Linked DNA regions of Neurospora crassa OR74A. The protein of the gene in region 2 interacts with the protein of the main gene of each other region in a biochemical or structural test. Links are inferred from orthologs where the notes say so. Each region holds a gene or a part of one and is shown on either strand. Other genes may lie near its edges.

Region 1 (3,482 bases), on a different chromosome or scaffold from region 2:
GCTCCAAGAGGTTTGGAAACGGTGGTGTTGCTGTGCCAGTGGCCGGTCACGACACCCGCGGCGCCCAAAGAAGAAAAAAAGCGACGGCGGAAGCGCACGGCAGATCCTGCTAGATCCTGGTAAAGGTAAGCGGGCAGGGGACTGGCCAAGCCCTGAGCTAGCCTGGCCAAATTAAAAAAGATGGGGCCAATTCGGTGCCGATGGTGGATGACGGTGGACGCCGGCAACGGTGAGTCGCTGAAATCGGCCGCCGATGTGTCAAAACCGTCGGACGTTGGCGTGGGCTTTTTCCTTCGGCGGCGGCGGCGGCGGTACGTAACTCGATCCTGGTGAATGTCGCCAACACTCTCCACTAGCCAAGCGATGATGTATTCCAGCGAATCCTATGGCGTGCCGAGAGTGGATCAGCCTGACAAACCTTCGAATGAAGAACCTCGCAGCGAATTCTCGAATTGTGACCGGGGTCGCTGATTTGTCCGTTGGTGATGGATGTTTTGTGGTGGAGGTTTAGTCAGACGGGTCGGTATCGCTGGGCTGAAGCCTGGTGTTGCTGGACGACGAGCAACAGAGAGAGTGTATGAGTGCGTGTATGTGTGTAAGTAAGTGTGTGCCACGAGGCCGGACCAGATGGCCATGAGCAGTCCTGGTGTTTTGATGTCGGCGACGAAATCCGAATGTCATAGCTGACATATATATGATTTAACAGAAGGTGCAAATCTCGTGGCAATGTCGAGCAGCTACCTACTATTTGCGCCGCAAAACAACATTGCCGACCAATCCGACCCGACTGCCAGGAGAACATTTTCCCAAAGCATCGGTGGCGACAGACTACAAACCCAAAAAAGACTTGGAAAATTCAAGACACCAACCAGAAACAAAAGGCTGGCAATGTGTCCATTTTCTGGGGAAACCAGCCAAGGTTCGCGTCAAGCAGCCGTGACAGTGTCTAGGCAGTGTACACTATATTATCTTAGCATGTCTTGGGACGTGGCCGTTGACTGGACCTTCTAAGCGATATGTCCCCCAAAACAGTTCCCTTCCCTAGGTCGTCATCGGTCTCAATTCGTTGCTGGCTGGTGAAAGGTCAACTCAGTCATACAAAGAAACCAATTGAAGAGTTTCAAGACGCCAAAGTCCCCGGCAGTCCCAGGCGGGGTTGATACGTTCAACTGGACACGGTCCGTGTAAGTTACACTTTGCAAACAATACATACAGCGCTTGCGTACACGTACTGCAACAACACTGCAATACATGCGGCAACGCCAAGCATGTGTACGTCACCCGCCTAGGCTGCAACTGTAACCACTGTAACTGTATGTAACAAGCGGAATGTCATGTGCCCATGCTGGTCCGTGCCCACAGCTGCTGTCGTCTCCCGCCTGCGGCCTGCCTGCCTTTCAGTTCGCTTGTCAGGCTGCTGAGACGACCGCAACGACTAACGGGGCTCGAAGCACACTGGTGTCGCTGGCGACAGACAACATTCGACGACGACCACTACTCCTTGCGATCAGACCAACCACACGCCAGCCCAACCACATCTCGTCCAACGCGACCGCATCAACGACGCCCCTCTTTGGCATGATTAATGACGAATCTGAATAATTGAGAATAACGATACCCGCCGATAAACGAGCATCACCCCGATACGGCCAGCCCGACGACAGCACCCCCACACCTGCCCCGAACCCCAACCTCCACATCCGATAGCAACACATAACTCCATTGAATCCAAGATGGCCAACATTCTCGACAGCGAAGCCGGCACAGAGCTCTTCAAGCATTATGAGACGGAATACCAGCTGGTCCAGGCCGACCTGGTCCAGAAGCTCGACCAAATCTCGGAGCTGACGGGCGAGCCCAGGAAAGCCGCCCTCAGCACGGCCGAGCGCGCCCTGGAGGAGGCCGGCGAGCTGCTGGACCAGATGAACATGGAGAAGCAGAACGTGCCCAGCTCGTCGCGGACCGCCATCAACAAGCGACTGCGCGACTACCGAAGCGACGTGGACAAGTATCGTCGCAAGCTGCAGACGCTGGCGACGGACCGCAGCGCCCTGTTCGGCGGCAGATACACCGATAACCCGGGCTCTTCGAGTGGCGATAGGCATTTTGAGCAGAGGCAGCAGCTGCTATCTGGTGGGTGGTGGACAGAAGCACCTTATACATGGCAAGAAGAAACGGAATGCTGACTATTTCCCCCGAAACGTAAAAGGCACCGACCGGCTCGATCGGAGCACACAACGCCTCAAGGCCAGTCAGGCGCTGGCCGCCGAGACAGAGGCTATTGGCGCCAGCACCCTGGCCGACCTGCACCGCCAACGCGAAGTCATTGAGCACACCACCACGATACTATACGAGAGTGAAGGCTATGTGGACCGAAGTGTCAAGACACTAAAGGGCATGGCACGCAGGTACCACCCTCCCCTTTTGTCCCAATGCGAATCATGATGATTAGGTAATACTGACCACTTGCGCCTTTACCATTAGGATGGCTACGAATCGGATAATCACCATTGCGATCATCACCGTGCTGGTCCTCCTTATCATTGCGGTTATCGTTAGCAAGTTCAGGTGATTGTGTCGAGAGAGCTGAGCGAATCCATAAAGAAGCAATACAACATCAGGTAGAACAGGCAGGGGTGTTCAGTGACATCACGATATATACGAACAGGTGGTGGATGGTTTGGACTGTACCGATGGAGCGTTTGTTATAACAGAGACATGTTCCAGTTCCATGTTTTTCGTATCGTAGGGATGGTATCGTACGGGGGGTTGTATTTTTACACAGACGGCGTCACAAAGGGAGGTGGTTTCGAAATTTAGACGTATTTCTTTCTCATGACCATACGGCGGCCTTGCTTCCATGGACGTTCCGACATCCGACAGGGGAAAACGGCTCGCCATGTCCACCACAACTCGCCGCCACATGGGTAGCGGATCGTTCTCTATGATTTCAAATGATTCTCCTCTGAGACATAGTATCCCTGACTTTGGTCGGTGTTGACCGGGGCCTTGGTTAAAACAAATTTTCTGTTGGCCACTGTTGTTTGAATGATTTGCGTTCACCACACCTCTGCTGGGATGTGACTTGGTAGCTTGGTAGTTCTACAAGAAACAGAGAGCGAGCCTTCGACAAAGTCGCTATTTCTTGTGCCCAAATTAAGCTTCTTTGCCACCCTGAAGAACCGTGGTGTACTGTGTATATCCCAGCAAGAACTGTGTCTTGGTAACTCATGTACACTACAGGCCTATTACAAATGAGTAGACTAAGAAATTTTCCATGTGATGGAAACACGCATCACTGCAAATCACGTCAAGTCATCTTCTTCGAGATACTTTCGTTGTTGTTAACATTTGCATATAACCCCACTTTCACAGATACGCAGTACATAACGGACCCTCAGACCTTCCACAGCTCCAGTTGAACTTTAGGCGGTGAAAAAAAAGAAGTCCACCGGACTGATGTTCCGCAGCTCAAGCTGCAG
Region 2 (3,313 bases):
GGCACCGCGACGGCAGAGTGAGATCGCTGGGGAAACGAATGGCGAAGAGCCACAGCTCACTGGGCTTGTCCTAATCGGTGCAAAAAGCGGTGGAGCACCACAGGCATCGCCGGCGTCCAAATCTGGTGTAGTGTAGGTGGAAGGAGGAACCGACGCATGTGCCGGCCACTTCACGAACCCCCCCTGTCTCTTTCCTAGGCTTGTCTACACGACACTACACTACATAGTACACTACACTACGGCTTGGTTTTCCTCTTTGAGCCATCTCCTCGTCATTACATACACTACGACTACGGGTCTTGATGGTTGTTGTTCCATCAAGGTCAACTTTTGGTAGGAAGACTTCTAGCTTCACCAGTCTGACGATCTCTCGGCCAGAAGTTCATGTCCAGCTTTACATTATTGGTGATGTACAGACGCGTGGGCAAGGCGGTTCGATGGTCATATGTGTGTAGTTACATTTGTGCGACCATGAATGATATGTACCCGAAAGGCTTCGAGATCCGACACGAGGTGGAAATCCGCGCGGTGTAATATCCGGACCTGGTGGAGAGGATCGATGACTTTGTTCTCGAAAAGGTCATTCAAGGCATCGATCCCATCCGTCTGACTCGAAGGAGTTTTGCTCCATAGTATTTTATACTGGGTAGTCGTGGAATCATATACTATGTGCCTCATAGGGGTAATACTCGTTGAGAGGTCCGCGATCCCTTCCAGACTCGGAGCAGAGTGCATGTCAAACATATTCGCTTCGCGGGTGAACACTGTACACCAAAGACCCTTTTTTCGCTTCAGGAAACCTCGTTAGAAGCATGGGCCGGCGTTCCGCTTGTTCTGTTTGTGCTTTCTAATCACCTTCCACATCATCAGTCCGTCCCCTTGGAAACTTTTGTTCAATGTTCCAGGAAGATGTTCTTGACAAGTGCGATTGTAGGGATCTGAGTAGTCGTCTTAGTCGTCATTGCACATGTCAATCATGGTTGAACAAAAAGCAAATGAAAGGACACGGAGATGCAACAAGAGCCCGTGTTAGGACAAGGTCTTCCTATAGTAGCATTGGCACTAACATGTGCTAGCGGGGCGGTGTTTGGCCGACGCCCGCCTGACGGTGCTGTTCCAGCCCAGAGGGCATGGGTCTCGATGGCCTGGCCCAACAAGAAGCGGACGGCTGTGGTTGGCTTCGACACATCGCCATTCAGCCTCGAACAACAGCTTGATTCCATCGATACCTCATCGCATCGCCATTGCCGCCATCGATCGCGCGTCGTCTATCAAACCCCTCCCCCTAATCCATCGACAATCGTCGAGCCCGAACCACGACCGACACAGCGACGCGCTTCCTTGACCAAACCATCGCAACTTACAATCCATTAACCTAATCTAACGACGAACCCTACGATTCGGCAATTCCAGACCTCATTGCTCCCCACGCCATCACATCGGCTCTCTCTATCCCAACGCGAGACATCAACATCATCGTGTACAGTCAGGAACCATCAACAGCGATACTCGCCTGATTTGCGCCAAAGCTCTGAAACACGACCACAACAAAACCTCGGGGACGTTTCAAATACCGCTACCATGAAGCTCTACTACATTGGTGTAAGATACGGCTGCTTTCATAGGGGGTACAAGAAGGTACCTGCTGACCGCGAACAAGATCTACAAAAACACCGAGCAGCCTGCGGTGCAGCTCTGCGGTGCCCACGAGCTTAGCGACTTCTCCAGGTTCACACGAGACCAATACAAGAACTTCATGACCATGATCAGCAGGACTGTCGCAGAGAGGACGAAGCCTGGCCAGAGGCAAAGTGTTGAGGAGCAAGGTGCGTCTATGGTGAACTCTCTGCTCGCATACATGTGCCTAGCTGACTAGGTGGTGTCCGAACAGATTATATTATCCACGCCTATGCCCGCTCCGAGGGTGTTTGCGGTGTCGTCATCACCAAGGACTACCCTCCTATCGCCGCCCACAGTGTCCTTTCCAAGCTCATGGACCAGTTTCTCTCGGAGAAGCCGGTTGCCACGATAAACGCCGCCAAGAACGACGGCGACATCCCTTTCCCGGCCATCGAGCAGTACCTTCGCGACTACCAAGATGCCAACAACGCGAGCAGCATTGCAAAGATCCAGCAAGAGCTCGACGAGACCAAGATCGTCCTACACAAGGCAATTGATAGCGTATGTCCATTCACAGAGGGTAGCAATGCTCTATATAACATGCTAACCTAGTTTTAGGTTTTGCAACGAGGCGAGAAGCTCGACGACCTGGTTGCCAAGAGTTCCGACCTGAGTGCGCAGAGCAAGATGTTCTACCAGAGTGCGAAGAAGCAGAACTCGTGCTGCCTGGTTATGTAAAGATCGTTCATCAATACCAACCAACCACGCGCGACTGTCTTCGCTTTTAGTCAGCCGCACTGATATATGCCATCGACCGCAACGTTCCCCCTACCCAAATACAAAGAGCGACTGACCCCTCGTTGTCTTCGAGGCACTGGTGGGGGTCTCTTCTAATTCAGCTTTTGGTTTCCGCGCAGGTTGCAGTTTGGCTACTGACGACAGAGGGCCTTACAGTAGCCGCTTTGGATATGTGAAAGCCACTTACCTTGACGGCTTCGTGGGCTCTGAGAATGCTAAACTTCTAATTCAACCTGCAATATACCCTTTCTCATATTCATTGTTGTGTGGTACATACCCGAAACTGTGAAAGATTGACCACTGTTTGGCGCTAAAGCTGTGAAATACATACTTCGACTACCAGATGTAGGTAGTCCTGTTATAGATTTGTTATGTGTCGAACCCGAGGCTGCGCACTTATCTGAGAGATCTTCGCTCCGTTTCTTGCATACCCGTTAGTTTCATACGACATCCGCCCTCAAAGATTATGTGATGGGCCGACACAAGCGAAGCGGTCGGGTTCCCCAGTCACGACATTCGGTTGCAGTGATGACGACCTTGTCCGCCACGCCGTAGTGGCGTAAACTGTGCGAGTCGTAACTAATGTACACTATGGTATATTCTAGGGGTTGTTATCCCTCTCAAGCTAGCCCAGCCAAAAAGACTCTTTTGAAGATATGAATGGAAACGTTGAGATTCAAACTACAAGACTACGCAGCAGCATCAATTGAGCTGATCGATGATGGCGGCATTGCGTACGGATCTTCCTCCATGCCGATCTTATATCGGCTCCGTCGGCGTCTACTCATGTGCACTACAGACGTTGGATGCAAGCTGGGGTTCGAACAACATCATAGGAAACTGAGACTGTAAATGTGCGGGGTGGCAGAGGCGCTCCTACCTGATGTCGCGCCTT
Region 3 (4,121 bases), on a different chromosome or scaffold from region 2:
TAAAACAACTTTCTGTGCCCGAGTCCGTTCAAGAGACTGCCATTGGGATCCTTGGACCCCGATGTGAAAGGGCGTTGATCCTTGGTCGGTTCCTTGACCATGAACATGGTGAACGCAGTGTTACCAGCAATCCAAACGATCAGGAGCATGGTGCTAGCCAGGATGATCGAAGTGGCGCTTTTGAAGGAGACGGGCCACGAATATGGCACATAGTTCGTCTTTGGAAGGTTGAAGAATGGGCGAAAGAAGAAGAGCGACAGCCGCCAGACCACCTTGCGCAGGAACGGGTAGGTGACCAAAGTCAATATCAGGCTGGCAAGCGTTTGATTGAGTGACTGCAAGAAAATGCTAGGCATCTCACCCCAGAACTTCTTCATAAGGGTGCCGACATCACTGTTGTTGTTACGGACGGCCTTCTCTGAGGGCTTAGCGACACCCAAGAGGAGCCGGTCAATGTCCAAATACAGATGTCTGATGGCCTGGTAGACGCCGAGCATCACAAGATGGGTGGTAATGAAGACAGCCTTCTCGTTCAGCCTCTGTCTATCGTACGACAGGTACGTCACCCATTCCAACCCAGAGTCCTTAGGCTGGGAAAGGAGGTAGACTTGGGCAAACAGCCAGGCAGAGAAGGCATATGTCAAGATGGTCTCCAAGGTTGAGAAGTTGCGCCAATGCTTCAGGAAGGTATCGAAAGCCGAGTCGGATGTTCGGTAGCCGGGATGGTATTGTGCGATGCGCAGGATGAGGATGAGCGAGCCGGAGAACCAGAAGAAGGCGGCGCGAAAGCCAGTCGGGCCGATGGGAAACCAAGACCAGAGGACTAGATGGAGAGCAGCATGGTCAGTTGGTTCGCGTCAGGTAGCAGAAGGTAGCTGGCCAGCTTACAAGAGTTCCATCTGGCCAGGCCAATGGCATAGACATATGCGATGACGAGCAGAATCAAGGCTGTGGTACTAAAACGGCGATGGAGTGCAGGCTGGAGGAAGTCCTTGTAGGGCGGTCGTCTAACAGATGCGGACGCCATCTTCACAGCACATTGTCGACAGTCCCGCCGTCGTTATGGTAGTTGTTTGCCTGTGGATGGTGTCTGGAAGACGTGATGCGCGTGAGGGGGAGGGCGGGGAGGGGGGAGGTGGGATTGGTCCTCGTCGAAATTAAGCTGAGGTCAGTAAAGCCCAATTTGGATCTTGAGGCAGCAGCTTCGGGTTTGATATGAGGTGTTGAGTTGGTTGTATGTAAATAAAAAAACGGGGTGGGCCTGCCTGCCGCGCTGGACTGGACTGAACTGAAGCTTCCAGTTCCCGTAGTCCCCAAAACACGAGGGGACGCGCTGTCGTCAGCCTGTCACTCTTTTTGGATCCACACGAGCTGAAGGCCCGGTATCATGATTGGCCAAGATGCCCCATTACGTCTCCAACAAGCCAAGCCGAAGCTTTGGAGCGGCAGGGCAGGACGGCAGGGATCCACATGGAAGTTCCCTCGAAACTGACAGTGGATGCTGACAGCGCACAGCGGGCAGCCACTGAGGGACAGCGACTGGTGGTGTCCTGGCTCGCCTGGATAACGCAATCCATTGCAACCACTTGCGACCACTTGCGACCCGGCATTGTCGTCCCAGATCACAAGTCACAAGTCACCTTAGGTTCCCGCGCTTCAACTTACAACCATCCACCCAAGGGAACCTTGGACCACCACCGCCTGTTGACAAAAACATCACCAACAAAACAGGCACCGACGAATCGCTCGTTTTCCGAAGGGCCTCATCTCAGCTTCCATTTGCTTGAAGAACCGCATACTTGTACATACCGAATCCCATCTCGTCGACGACAATCAATCACTACCCTGCGCATCGCATCAGGCACCGATAAGCCAAACTATCTGCTATCATAACCACAACCACAACCACGACAACCACCACCAGCAACCATGTCATTCGATCAGCTCTCCTCCCTTGAGGCGGGGCGCCGTCGTAATACCGGTGGCAACCAGTACACCGATGACCCCGAGTTCCAGCGCCTCTCCCAAGATTTGATGAACAAGCTCTTCAAGCTTAACGGCAACAACCAGCGACTCCAAGGCGAGGTCGGCCACCTCGGCACGCGGCGCGATACTCCACGGGTTCGGGAACGAGTCCACGAGCTGATTGAGGAGTCGCGCGATCTATTCAAGGAAGTCGGCGGGGGCGTCAAGAAGGTGCAAACCTGGGAAGATGTCACTGTACGTTACTATTCTCTCTCTCTCTCTCTCTCTTATCACCACTCCTCGTCCCCTCCATTGCCAAGCGCCGGACCGTAGACTAACACGCCATACCCAAAAAAAAACTAGCCGACCCAAAAATACATGCAACAAAAACTCTCGCGCGAATTCCAATCCTCCCTCTCCGAATTCCAATCCCTCCAACGCACCGCCCTCGACAAGCAAAAAGCCTCAGTAACCGCCGCCCGCTCCGTGATTGACGCCACCGACCCTTCGCACTCTTCGCACCCCGTGCTCGAGTCCGGGGAACCCCAGCTGCTGCAATATCAGGAGCAAGAACTCACCCACCTCGCGTCGCAATCCGATGTCGATTTCCAGGATGCGCTCATCCTCGAGCGCGAAGAGGAGATTCGCAATATCGAGCAGGGTGTTGGCGACTTGAATGTGCTGTTCCAGCAGGTGGCTCAGATTGTCAGCGAGCAGGGCGAGATGCTGGATACGATTGCGAATAATGTGGAGAATGTGAGGGATGATACGGCGGGGGCGGATAGGGAGTTGAGGAGTGCGGCGAGGTATCAGAAGAATGCGAGGGGCAAGGCGTGCTGTTTGTTGCTGATTTTGAGCGTTATCTTGACGATTGTTTTGTTGGCGGTGTTCTTGGGCTAAATGGGTGGGACATGATATGGCATGGTATGAAAAACAAGTGCAGGATGCGGAAAGACGGGACACAGTAAGGATATGATTGTTGATGATGTTTTGATGATGAAACGGAAGGGAATGGCCCGGAGGACAGGGTAATCCTGTAATGGTTGGTTTTGTTATTTCTGTTGCTGTCGTTGTTGTTGATTTCGTTATCGCAAAGACGCCTGGGAGGGATCAAAGACAGGGGAAAGGCGTTTTCGGAGTTCTTACATTCTTTTTTGACTCTTGTTGGCTATACAGTTTCCATCTGGCCTCTGTAGGCGGCCAGTCCATCTATCATCCATCCATAGGTATCTTATGTCTCATACATCTACATACATACTGTACAAAAACCGCTATGCTCTATCTTGTGACATGGCTTGCGAGATCACTTTCTTTACGGCTGTGTGATTCGGCTCCCAATCCAGCCCCGGCAGCTTCGGTCTCACATACGGATCATCTCCCCTCCCCTTGGCCGGTCCCAGATATGGCGGCAACGGCATCTTGGCCGCCACCACGCTCGTGATCGCGTTGCTCGTCAGACTCGTCGTGATCCAGTACAGGTGCAGCGCCGCCGGCAAGTTGATGGTGGCGGGCCCAACGATCAGCGTCAGCAGCAGCAGCGCCCGCTGCATCCTAAGTCCTACGGACTTTTGCTGCTTGATCTTGGATGCGTGCTCGCCAATATTGTTTGGGTTGACGTCCTCCGTCCCGGGGTTCAGGAGACGCAACCACCCTTCTTGGTTGCGAGGCATTACGTTGACGAACATGGTGAAAGAAAGAACGAAAGGGAGAATGTGCAGAGGGTCGGCGGCCATGAGGTCGGGGAACCAGAGGCAGCCCTCCATGGTGGTGGGGAGGGTGTTTTGGAAATAGCTGGAGAGGGATTCCGGGAGGATGTTGGCTAGGGGGTTGACAATGGCGTCGGCGACGGGCGTGGTAGTGGTGACGGATGCTTCCGTGACGGCCTGCGTGGCGTTTGTGGCCGCTTCAGTTGCTTGTAACACTGCTTGTTGTGTGGTTTCCGCCGCCTTCGAGGCCGCCTCCGCCGCCGCCCTCCCATCCTTATTAGCCCCCAAAAACATACCCAACAGACCAACCGGTCCGCCACACAACCTCCTCAAAGCCTCGATACCCACCAGCCAGCCGGGAAAGGCCAAAAACGGCACAAACTGCTTCCATGGCTGCACGCCCCACTCTTTCAGTAACCTTTTGCTCGTCTTCTCCATCCGCTTCATGAT
Region 4 (3,951 bases), on a different chromosome or scaffold from region 2:
TACAGGAACTAACATGAACAAAAACAGAGGAAGACAACCTCGAGGAGATCGACCCCAGCAATGTGATCAGTGGTCCCCGCACTCGCCAGAAGGAGATCGACTATGCCAAGGCCGCTCAGGACTTGCCTGCCGAGGAGGACGATGAGGAGGACGACGAGGAGTTTGTGCCCGAGGATGAGGAAATGGAGGAGTAGTCCGAGGCTATCTTCTGATTTCCTTTGATGGTTCACAACAACAACAACAACAACAACAATGACAACAGATTCTTGTTTTCTTTCTTCCTGGGTTTCCCCGTTGGCTCTGCGCTTTGCTCGCTGCCAGTGGTTGAGTTTTATGATGATCACGAGCTTGGAGATGTAAGCCGTCTTTTGGCTGATTGCTAAGCCTGATTGGCTGGACCTATTTATGTACGTGAATGTCAGCTATAAGGCCTGGGGTTGTTTGGTTCAATGCGTTGGGAGTTCCCACAATCAGAATTTGGCAATACATGATAAGGGTGTAAGTGATCATTCGTTTATCAGTTCAGGTAGACCGATCTCTTCTGTCAGCCAATTTCAAAGTATCAACATACTACGTACGTTGGTGTATCAGAATACGCTTGATCGCTTGTCTTCACTAACCTAACCCCCATAAGTGGAGACATTGGATGATTCCCCTGTCAGCTCAAGGGCAGTTGGCCTGTTGAGATGGGGTGCCACTAAACTAACCGCGAGGCAGCCTGAAGGGGGTGATATGTCTACGGCTGACCTATGAAAAGGTAATATTCCGGCGAATTCTAGAGTTGCTATGACCATCGAGATTTGATATCGGTCCTGTTCCTGGAGTACACAGCAGACGTCAGGAACCGGAGCATCGCACCAGCCACCAACAAGGTTCGCGATCTTGGCCTGATCCACCGGGTATTCTACGCAGTACCATACACCAGCTTCTTTGACGCCAACATCTGTGAGAATGCATGCCTTCGACTTGGAAAGCTTCAACGATTCTGAAAGTCTCGGATTTGGGCTTAGATTCGCTTCAATAAGTCCATACTTGAGTCTATGCGCCTTGCGCAATCTAACGTGGATCAACTTATTGCTGACGCGACAAGCTGAGAGAGAAAAAAAAAAAAAAAAAAAAAAAAAAAAAGGTAGAGGAAGAATGGAGACGCTGAACGCCCAATTAGCCAATATCAGTGGAAGCAACACGGGCACCTCTCGGAGGGACTTTGAACAACGCCGAACATGAACCCTCCGACATAAAGAAAAATTGAATGATTAAAACCAGATACATTGGGGAAAATAGTGTCAAGTTCTCTCGGAGAGGAAGACGTGACACCAACCCAGATGTTCAATCAACGTGTCCTTGTCAGCATCATGCGGCACGAACAACATTGTACCTTTTAGCCATTACATATGTATCACCCAGACACGGACTGACGTTGTAGTTTATGTACATGGACGGCGCACCAAGGTAACATCTGGCCAGAACAGGCCTAACAACCACCCAAACTAAAAAGGGGGATCTGCCGGCGCTGGCGGCCAAGGGTCCACGGGCATTCAACTTTATTTTCTTTCTTCACCACCCGCACACCCCCCGCCCGACGCTACCTCTATGGAACCTGCCAATTCATCATCTCTAATACCTACCCACACTCTTACAAGTTAGCTAGCATTTACCTGTCAGGATTCTCGAAGACGGATCGACCTAAATTTGCTCTCCATGATGGCTTCCAGGTGAGTGCGATTCTCTTGTACGTTCGTCTTAGCATTGCACCACACCACACGCAAATGCCACCTTTCACATTTCGAAATGCGACTTGGCCTGTCAACTCGACCAAACCCACGACCGACACGCGATGAAGCGAGCGGCCGACCGAGCTGCCCGGCTCCGGTGAACGGGTGTACGATATTGCCACCGGAAGATATCTGCGGACCAAAGGCAGCAGCTATCGATGTTATGGTGGTTGGTTTGACAAGTCACGATTTCTCGACCTGCCCCCCCTGGTCATGGCGCGACGGCCTCAACTACGTCATCGCTCTGGTTTCAGAGTCTCGCCAACACGCCTCCAACCATGCCATGGTAGGATACGATACGAGTTCACTACCGTGATGTGATGCAGTCGCAACAGCGGCGCAACCACAGCAGCACTGGCGACGAGAGCGAGAATGACAGCGAAACCGAAAGCGTCAACTCGATCCATCCACCATGCCCCCGGGTCGTCCTCGATTCGACTTTGACCACCCACCACAACCCCCATCCCACCAACCCCTTAATCCTTCGAACAAGACAAGACAACACCCTTCTAACAATTAGTCCGCTTTTCTTTTTCTCCGGAGTACAGATTTGCACATTCCTCTCTACACCAGCGCGACCCGCGCAGCGACCTTTTCAAGGGCTACTCTGGCTCCAGCGCAGCCGAGCGCCGCTCGGCCAACGCCAGCCCAGCAAGGTATGGCGGTGGCGGCGGATACGGGTACGGGGGCGGCTATGGTGGCGGTGGGAGTTATAACGGCAGCTCGTCAACACTGGGGATGGAACGGGGCGGGTTTAGGCCTGCTACTCCAAATTCAAGGGGCCAGTACAGCGACGCAGTCCTCAACGAACTCGAGAGCCAGAATGATGAGCAGGTGGAAGGGATAATGGGTAAAGTCAAGATTTTGAAGGATGTATGTTTTTGTTCTCTCTTTCTGCTCTCCTCCCTCTCTCCCACTTCCTTCTCTCGCAAGCCACCCATCAACTAACCCCATCCCTCCCCCACAAACAGATGACTATAGCCATCGGCGATGAAATTCGAGACTCCTCCGCCCTCGCCGAGAAGATGAACGAATCCTTCGACCAAACCCGCCTCCGACTCCGTGGTACCATGAACCGAATGCTCATCATGGCACAGAAGACCAATGTCGGGTGGAGGGTGTGGCTTGCCTTTTTCGCTGCCGTGGTGTTCCTCTTTTTTTACGTGAGGTATCTCTAGTATCCTTCCAAGGTCAAGGTTTTTCTGAACTTGGAAGAGAGAAAAAGAAAGAAAAGAAAAAGACAAAGATGGAGGGATATGTTGGTCGGCGGAGTGGTCCTCCTGCTGCTGCTGCTGCTGCTGCTGCTGCTGCGCGGGGCAAAGCGATATGTTCAAGAATGATGGAAACGAGAAAAGAGACCATATATATGCAAAGGAAAGATGGGATAGTATATATATGGCTTTAACGATGGGTAATACCAATGGATGATGAGGAAAACGGAAGGTTCTAGGTCAAAGTGGCTGACTACCTTGTGGGATAGAAAAGGCATGGATATGGGTTGCCCTTGGTAGATTGCGGGCGGACTTGGTTTTTGCATGCTGGCGCCGGGGAGTTCGCGTTTGTTAAGTCGTTCGGGTAGTATCAGAAGTCGGTTTTTTTTGGTTTTTTTGTGGTACCTAATTATTTTAATCATTCTTAATCCGTTCTCCAACCAATGAGGTTCAATTATCTGGTTTAATCCACTGATCAATCATGAAGCTATATATGGGCTCCCACAAACGTGAAGTGGATAATCATTGAGCGTATAACAGACAGTTAATCAGAACTGCGTGTAGACTACCACTGCATAGACCAGACCATTGCTGTAACGAAGATCAAAGTTGTCTTTTGACGGACATTATCTATTCAATCCTGCTTCCCAAGCCACCAAGTAGCTACCCATACTGCCATGATCCCAAGACTCCATGCGCCAGACTCAAACGACCTGTTATTGAATGATGCTTGCTGACCGTTCCTACCACAACTCCTCAGTTTTAATCCTCCCTTGTTTCTCTTTCCGAACCACCGCGGACCTTCATTCTAGTGCAACCTCCTCACCCTTGGACTGCTTCTCATCATGGGACTACTCTCATCAACAGACAACAGCCCACTGATATCCAGACTGCTCCTTGGCGCTCCAATTGTGCTCCGCCTGGCATTTCCCGCAAGACTAGTCCTCAACAGCCGCTGCTGCTGC

Evidence for each region. The genes of interacting proteins can lie anywhere in the genome.
Region 1: the proteins of NCU08973 (region 2) and NCU05959 form a complex in vitro, tested with the Saccharomyces cerevisiae proteins (3 studies listed by BioGRID). The link is inferred for Neurospora crassa OR74A from reciprocal best matches to the Saccharomyces cerevisiae genes YKT6 and VTI1.
Region 3: the proteins of NCU08973 (region 2) and NCU06777 form a complex in vitro, tested with the Saccharomyces cerevisiae proteins (2 studies listed by BioGRID). The link is inferred for Neurospora crassa OR74A from reciprocal best matches to the Saccharomyces cerevisiae genes YKT6 and PEP12.
Region 4: the proteins of NCU08973 (region 2) and NCU01741 form a complex in vitro, tested with the Saccharomyces cerevisiae proteins (3 studies listed by BioGRID). The link is inferred for Neurospora crassa OR74A from reciprocal best matches to the Saccharomyces cerevisiae genes YKT6 and BET1.

Annotation. Positions count from the first base shown.
Region 1 is NC_026506.1:3,311,437-3,314,918, reverse strand, and holds NCU05959 (vesicle transport V-SNARE protein VTI1), read left to right. Parts: upstream 1-1,416; 5' UTR 1,417-1,733; coding exon 1,734-2,133; intron 2,134-2,209; coding exon 2,210-2,408; intron 2,409-2,484; coding exon 2,485-2,572; 3' UTR 2,573-2,982; downstream 2,983-3,482. UniProt on the Saccharomyces cerevisiae protein: t-SNARE found in various SNARE complexes involved in multiple transport pathways. The composition of the t-SNARE complexes is specific for a limited number of v-SNAREs and therefore allows only the vesicles carrying the matching v-SNARE to fuse.
Region 2 is NC_026503.1:4,097,510-4,100,822, reverse strand, and holds NCU08973 (SNARE protein Ykt6), read left to right. Parts: upstream 1-1,139; 5' UTR 1,140-1,581; coding exon 1,582-1,602; intron 1,603-1,660; coding exon 1,661-1,826; intron 1,827-1,891; coding exon 1,892-2,181; intron 2,182-2,238; coding exon 2,239-2,358; 3' UTR 2,359-2,813; downstream 2,814-3,313. Other genes in the region: NCU16686 (hypothetical protein), read left to right, coding at 1-21.
Region 3 is NC_026502.1:1,962,467-1,966,587, reverse strand, and holds the start of NCU06777 (syntaxin), read left to right. Parts: upstream 1-1,321; 5' UTR 1,322-1,929; coding exon 1,930-2,220; intron 2,221-2,328; coding exon 2,329-2,865; 3' UTR 2,866-3,236; coding exon of another isoform or gene 3,237-4,121. Other genes in the region: NCU06776 (hypothetical protein), read right to left, coding at 1-823, 889-1,027; OXA-2, read right to left, coding at 3,237-4,121. UniProt on the Saccharomyces cerevisiae protein: Plays a role in the sorting and targeting of vacuolar proteases.
Region 4 is NC_026502.1:2,582,606-2,586,556, reverse strand, and holds NCU01741 (SNARE complex subunit), read left to right. Parts: upstream 1-1,486; 5' UTR 1,487-1,701; coding exon 1,702-1,715; intron 1,716-2,323; coding exon 2,324-2,648; intron 2,649-2,746; coding exon 2,747-2,953; 3' UTR 2,954-3,451; downstream 3,452-3,951. Other genes in the region: NCU01740 (histone H2A.Z-specific chaperone chz-1), read left to right, coding at 28-194; NCU01742 (hypothetical protein), read right to left, coding at 3,795-3,951. UniProt on the Saccharomyces cerevisiae protein: SNARE required for targeting and fusion of ER-derived transport vesicles with the Golgi complex.